Linked DNA regions of Danio rerio. The protein of the gene in region 1 purifies or fractionates together with the protein of each later gene. This does not show direct contact. Links are inferred from orthologs where the notes say so. Each region holds a gene or a part of one and is shown on either strand. Other genes may lie near its edges.

Evidence for each region. The genes of interacting proteins can lie anywhere in the genome.
Region 2: the proteins of ccnl1b (region 1) and csnk2a2b purify together in Homo sapiens (affinity purification with mass spectrometry; 4 studies listed by BioGRID and IntAct, with this or other methods). This does not show direct contact. The link is inferred for Danio rerio from reciprocal best matches to the Homo sapiens genes CCNL1 and CSNK2A2.

The regions. Positions count from the first base shown.
Region 1 is NC_133177.1:39,650,260-39,654,532, forward strand, and holds the start of ccnl1b (cyclin-L1), read right to left. Parts: upstream 2,801-4,273; 5' UTR 2,726-2,800; coding exon 2,483-2,725; intron 2,167-2,482; coding exon 2,092-2,166; intron 2,008-2,091; coding exon 1,898-2,007; intron 703-1,897; coding exon 585-702; intron 485-584; coding exon 420-484; intron 31-419; coding exon of another isoform or gene 17-30; intron 1-16. UniProt on the Homo sapiens protein: Involved in pre-mRNA splicing. Functions in association with cyclin-dependent kinases (CDKs). Inhibited by the CDK-specific inhibitor CDKN1A/p21. May play a role in the regulation of RNA polymerase II (pol II).
Region 2 is NC_133200.1:14,573,496-14,576,995, reverse strand, and holds part of csnk2a2b (casein kinase II subunit alpha'), read left to right. Parts: intron 1-2,054; coding exon 2,055-2,203; intron 2,204-2,282; coding exon 2,283-2,359; 3' UTR 2,360-2,365; intron 2,366-3,500.

The sequences.
Region 1 (4,273 bases):
TTTCTGTGACACTTACCACCATGGGCTACCCTTTAATCAAAGAGTAGAGAAAGGACAAAGTTAAGCAGAGCTCTCCATAAGCCATAACCTCAATGTGCAACAAGTCAACAACACATGGTTATCCTGCATTGACAAAGAAGACTGAATAGTGTGAACCTAATCTTACCTTTAGGCATACCAAGCTACAATGCATTTCATGCTTTATAATGCAGTGTTTCCACTAGGTCCTGTTGATATCTAAGTTTCAAGCTCTTTCACAAAAGGTCAAGCTCTTAGCAAATAAAGAAAGCTACTAGTGGAAACAGAGCATAAGTCCAACCAAAAACCTGATCCAATGTCTCCTCTATAAGGGGAAAAAATTCCAAGTCATAATTTAAAGGGCATTTCCATAAAGTCCAGAGGTAGATGAAAACACTTACCATGCTGTTTGAACCAGCATCTGATTCTTCTCACATTCCAGCACTTGCAGGTACATGACTATAATCTAAAATGATAGAAAACAAATTTTAAGAGATGCAATAAGGATTTCAATGCACAGAAGACAAGCAATAACAACATTTTAACTGATAGTAAACAAAACTCACCTTATGTGGATGTTTGACATGAACACAGAAGCCCAGCTCCTTCAGGATACGACGCTCAGCTTTAATAACTTGGTTCTTGGTATTAATGTAATTTTGATCAAGAATGAGGGGTGTGCTCCTGTATCAACAAATAGAAAAAAAATTAATTAGCTATTGTTGAACATGAAACATTACATCTATGACACAGACATGGGATAATAAACTGTTTTAAGGTTTACCACAGTTTGGAAAAAGTCAAGGTTTTAAATTTCTGTTATACTGTTCCTATGGTATATCTACAGTTTATTTAACGTGTTTTTAGCGACTATTTTATTTATTTGGGCAACAATATGTTCCGCAGGAAAGGACCCTCCACATCAAAAGCTACGGTTCCAAAATATTTTAAATGATTCTTAACTAAATATATTGAGTTCAATGGGGGAAGTAGTTGTTTTTAACAAGACATTTAAAAAAACAATTTAGAACTCATACCTACAATGATATCCACATCCACTGATTTGTTTTAAATTTTCCTAAAATATCAACGTAATCTTTTTCACTTATGTCAACAGAAAAAAAATCTACAAAATTTCCAAAATCGTTTCAGAACTAGAAATTTATATTTCATTTAATCAGAAAACAGGGCAGTTTAAATGATGGATTAAGTGACCAACATGTTTTGAAGACCGAACTGGTCTGACATTTTGAATTTAATCAAAACTAAAATTCATTTCAATAGTTTAAAACCACCGGCCAAAGCAAAAAAGTTCACTTAAGCTGGAAAACAGCTGTAAACTAACACTGGTAGATTATGTAACAGGTAGGTGTGTTCTATAACTCCAGCTTTTACTTAGAAGGTTTGACAGGTTGTATTTTAATTTTTTTTGTTTATTGTTAAGCTAGCTTCTATGGCTATTTCAATGTTAAGCTAATGCATACTAGTTATAATATGCTATTTTGTTTATTTAAAACTGTTCTTATTTTAAGTGTTAAAAATCACCTCAAAAGACTAAACAAAAAAAAATCCTCACAGATTTAATCGCTGACACAATCTAACAGCAACACTAATATTGACAATAGGCAGAAATTTTGAAGAGTAAATTGAAATCCATTAACATGTACAATAAAATGTACAAAGTTTTTCAAACTTGTTTTAAGGCAAGAAAGAATGTTATTTAATAACGTTCCTTATAGGACAACTTTGATGACAGGTTTTAGTTAACTTCAGACATTAACTACTGTATATTGCGGCTTTATAACACTTTCCTGGGTAAATAAAACTACTTCTTAAAACATAAATACAACAAAAACTTAAAATCATGCGTTCGACTTACTTTTTACCCTTTCCTTGTTTCAAATGGTGGAAAACGTTGATCACATCCCTCACTCGTCTTGGCGACTCCTCAATCTTTGAAGCCAAGTTCACGCAGGCCATAGCAACAATCTGTTTTAAAGCGAAACCAGGTTCAAAGTTTTCATGAGATGGTCTTAGTCAGGTATTTAACAATATTATGTATTTCTAACTTACCTCAAAGTTGTGCTTTACGAAGGACTTCGAGAAAAAGAATCTTTGAAAAATTACTTGTCCCGTCGCCATCGCCACCTACGCAAAAAACATAAAACAATATCAACAACCACATTCTCGTAAACAATTGACGTAAATAACATTCAACATAATTATAATATCGCTAAAAAATATAACAAATAACGAGAATCATCTTTAACAGCATCTCAAAAATGTGTCTCGAGCCACTTGAAGGACTCTATGGAAGACAAAGGCCGCCGGTTTCACTGTGCCGGTTTCGGCTAAGTTAGCCGGCTATGCTAAGCGCCTAGTTAAGGCGTTTACGTTAGATAACTGTGAGCCGAGCAAACGAACTAACGTTAATTCCTGAATATAAACACACTTCAACACTAACCTGTGGCAGACGAAGGAGAATCCCGGCTGACTGAATGCGTTCGCAGCCCAGAATCCGTAGGTCTGTCTCGGTCTCATGGTCGAGGCCATCCAGCATGGACGGGGTCGTGCTCAGCCTGTCCTCGGGTATGATCGAGTTGTCGATGGCCAGAAACACCTCCGAATACACTTTATCGCCAATAAGAATGCCCTGGTTATTTGGTGGTGGAGTGTTCAGATGAGGAGATAACATGCCAAGAGACATATTTGATGGTGTAACTCGCTATCACAAAACGTAGACCTTTCGTCTGCCAGGCGGAAATGGCAACGTTTCGCGATTGACGCACTTCAACGGCGGAAGTGACGTCAACGTTTGTGACGTCACTCGTTGCGTTGGAACAGTGAAATCCCGTAGAATACCGCGATGTTGTGTTGGTGTTTTGCGAGAATGTAAGAATCTAATGTGCTTATAATCTATAGCCTACACATTGCTATATTTTAAATTTAGAAAAAAGAATGTAAGTATTTGATGTGATATGAACTGACCTGATACGATATATGTTCTCAGACAGACATATAGATAGATTCAACTAAATTAACAGTCTCCTATCGATTTACAGTAGGAGTTGACTGAGTAACTAATAAGCCGGAGGAGCAGAAGCAGGAGACAAAGTAATGATGATAGAGAAAGAGCAGAGTTTATTGAATAATCTTAGTTTTGTATGATCCAATGCTAAGAGTTTGTCTGAAAAGAATAAATCCAACAAGTGTTATTATACCATATAAGCAACAGCAATGGGAAATGACTGTTTCACAACATTGTCCAGAGACAATACAGACCTTGAAATGAAGACATTCTCTCATCTCTTATGCTTAAAAACAAGTGTCGCTTGAATCCATAAGATTATAACAATATGGAAATATTCAATAATATTGAGCAAATTATTATAGGAAAATAATCATAAAATATAAAGACGAAATTACAAATAATACTCAATAATAATAATAAAATATAAAGACACAATTACAAATAATACTCTATAATAATAATAAAATCATTAACTAATAGTCCATAAAATGACAATTATACAGTATGACTGACTAATGACCATATGATTAAATAAAATTGAGATTAGAATGGCTCAATCTGTCTATTTTTAATCACTCCTAAAAACATACCTATTTAGCTTGACTTTTTGATTTTATTTTAATAGTTCTACTGCTTCATTTTTAAATTTATTTAGTCGTTTCTGTTGGTCATTAATCTAAACTAATACAGACAGACAGACAGACAGACAGACAGATAGACAGATAGACAGATAGATAGATAGATAGATAGATAGATAGATAGATAGATAGATAGATGCAGCAGGTTCCCACAGGCATGTGACATAATCCATTACTATCTTGCCAAGTACCAAAGTAATCACACCATCAAAACTGAGACCTCCACCATGATGAGGACTCATCACAGAAACTGATGAGACAGCTCACTGAGGGGACATGATATGCCTTGACGCATGCTCAACAGCACATATAAAGATCACTGTTGACTCCTTTAAAATCTTGACCTTTTTATATCAATGACAAGGAGGAAATAATCACAGGTTGGAAATGCATATTTTCTTCAACAGAGCAGTGATTTGTGTTCAATCTATAATTCTGTTTTGTTGATTAAGAAAGTGGATGTTTGATATTATTAATTTAAAAAATTGTGAATAATTTTATTTAGATGGTCGCCAGACACACGTTTACTATGTTACTTTGCAAAATTGTCATTAGAGTATTTGTCTACTGTCTGCTGAAAAGCTGC
Region 2 (3,500 bases), on another chromosome or scaffold:
TTTGGAAACAGGATCAAAATTGTTAGGCCAAGAATCATTTGAAGGATCAAGATTATTTTCCATAGAGATATTTAGTTAATTTGCTACCATAGATGCATTTAAAATGTCATTTTAATGTGCACTTCATTTAGTCTGCTTTTTTTTTTCTCAATAATTAGTTTTTTTTTAGAACCTCAGATTTTCAAGTAGTTGCATCTCAGCCAGTTATTGTTCCGTTCTAACAAACTTTACATCAATATAAAGCTTATTTATTCTGGTGTAAAGCACTTAATTTACACCTAAGACCTGTTTTGTGCTCCAGGGACACATTTCACAAATATTTAGGATTTTATTTTTACAAAAACATAGCAGATACTTGCATTTAATAATCTTTCTATGTAAATAAAAGCATTAGTAGCAAATAAAGTACATACAGTAATTTATTAATTTTATAAAAGATTAACTATTATATATATATATATATATATATATATATATATATATATATATATATATATATATATATATATATATATATATATATATATACTCTCAGCGGCCAATTTATAAGGTATACCTTACTTGTACAGGGTTGGACCCCATTTTACCTTCAGAACTGCCTTAATCTGGAAATATTCCTCAGAGATTTTGGTCCATATTGACATGATAGCATCACGCAGGTGCTTCCGATTTGTCGGCTGCACATCAGTTATGCAAATCTCCCCTTTCACCACATCCCAAAGGTGCTTCATCGGGTTGAGTTTTAGTGACTGGATGTCATTTGAGTACAGTGAACTCATTGTCATGTTTAAGAAACCAGTCTGAGATTATTCGCGCTTTATGACGTGGCGCATTATCCTGCTGGAAGTAGCCATCAGAAGATGAGTACAGTGTGGTTATAAGGGCATGGACATGGTCAGCAACAATACTCAGGTAGGCTGTGGTGTTGATATGCTGCTCAATTGGTACTAATGGACCCAAAGTGTGCTAAGAAAATTTCCCCCACACCATTACACCACCACCACCAGCCTGAACCGTTGATGGGCTGAATGGATCCATGCTTGCATGTCGTTGATACCAAATTCTGACCCTACCATCAGAATGTCGCAGCAGAAATCGAGACTCATCAGACCAGACAACGTTTTTCCAATCTTCTATTGTCCAATTTTGGTAAGCCTGTGCGAATTGTAGCCTCAGTTTCCTGTTCTTAGCTGACAGGAGCAGCAACCGGTGTGGTCTTCTGGTGCTCTAGTCTATCCACCTCAAGTCCGACGTGCCATGCGTTCAGAGATGCACCCACAGAACTGCTGCTCACTGGATATTTTATTTTTTTCTGACCATTTTCTGTAAACCCTAGAGATGGTTGTGCGTGAAAATACCAGAAGATTAGCAGTTTCTGAAATACTCAGACCAGCCTGTCTGGCAACAAACCATGCCATGTTCAAAGTCACTTAAATCACCTTTCTTCCCCATTCTGATGCTCAGATTGAACTGCAGCAGATCGTCTTGACCATGTCTTCTTGCCTAAATGCATTGAGTTGCTGCCATGTGATTGGCTGATTAGAAATTGGCTGATTCGAAATTTGCGTTAATGAGCAGTTGGACAGGTGTACCTAATAAAGTGTATAAATATATGTGTATGTGTAACTATGTGTAGCTAATATTAAAATTACATTGTTGAGGGAGATAAAGATTCCAGTTGTGTTACTGTAAGTCACTTTTTTAATGTAATATTAGGCCACTCGTTACCATAAATTAAAGATGTGATTTATCCACAACACTAATAAAAAAATTCCTTTATGTATTTTATGTAGAAAAAGGTGTGTGTGTGTGTGTGTGTGTGTGTGTGTGTGTGTGTGTGTGTGTGTGTGTGTGTGTGTGTGTGTGTGTGTGTGTGTGTGTGTGTGTGTGTGTGTGTGTGTGTGTGTGTGTGTATGTGTGTGTGTGTACATATTGCTGTAGTAATTTATAGTAAAATTAACAAGTAAAATAAAGTACGAAGTAAAAGTAAAATAAACAAGCATAAATAAATATGGTACAGTATTTATTAAATTTTTCCTTTCGTGTCCCCACAGGCAGACACGGAAGCGCTGGGAACAATTTGTGCAGACGGAGAACCAGCATTTGGTGAGTCCAGAGGCTCTGGATCTTCTGGACAAGCTGCTACGCTACGACCATCAGCAGAGACTGACCGCCACCGAGGCCATGGAGCACCCTTATTTCTGTGAGTTCCTCAACCTAATGACTGCTGACCGCTGCTGCAGACACAATGAATAACATCTACAATCCATATGTGCGTGCAGATCCAGTGGTGAAGGAGCAGTCTCACACTAATGCAGACGGCACTATAGTGTCAAGCGGAACCAACACACCCCGATGAGAGCAGGTATCAATCACTGATCAGTCAATATTCACATATGTGCTTTTAACTCTTGCAATCTTTTGGTTTTCAACAACATTCTAGATTTGTATATGCATATAAAGAATATATTTTAATATATATTGTTAATCTTGAAGTACAATATTGGATTAATATTATTACTAGAAATAATAGTATAGTACGAATGCTAGTTTTAAAACAAAAATCTTATTCATGTTGATTTTCTATTTAAATTTTTAAGTACATGTATTTTTTTTTAGATCTGGAAGACATTGGTTTATATTTAAAAACATAGAACGTTTAATAACATATAAAAGTTTAAATGCAATCATGCTGTACATCAGTGCTATTTTAGTGTTATTTATATACTCTATTTATTAATATTTCAATGTTTATGCAACTGTTCCCAACAGGCACACAACGTCATAAGACATTAATGTTAGGTTAGATTTAGGTCTTGATGTCAGATGACCAAAATTCAACGTCTAGCCCAGTGTCATATATGATGTATTGTCAAAAGCCCTGATCTTTTGGAATATGCTGCACTTAAAAAAATAGGTAGTATAACATTCATTTTGTTTTCCAAGTGCTTAAAATGACCACATACATCACGCTCATTCCACTTAATGCAGCTTTTGTGTCGAGTCCTTCAATAGTCAGCTGTTCAGCAGTAACTGTTTCTAGGTGGTAGTGGGACTGTTATCACACGGCAAGTGTTAAACAAAATCCAGTCACACGTCATTCATTCATTATTTTGAGGAGCTGATGAACTAATAATACAACTGTTTCACAAAAAAATCTACTTAATATTTGTTTACACAATGTAAAATGTGTGTAGAAAAACTGTAATCAATACAATGTGCATCATATTAAAGTAAATACATGCAAATTATTCAGAAAAATGTCATTTGTACTAGCTTTATAGATATGATATAGATATCCAGAAACATTTCTCTAGATATGATATAGCCAGTCACATCTGTTTCTGTAATTGTTAAATCACAGTGAGTTTATGCTCTCCTTTGGGACTAAGCCCCTTATCCGACTCTAGCAACATCCCTGGTCTAGCCACTGTCTAAGGATGTTTTTTTAACGTCCCAGAACGATTTCAGATGACGTTGATTTTAGGTTGTGTTGGAAA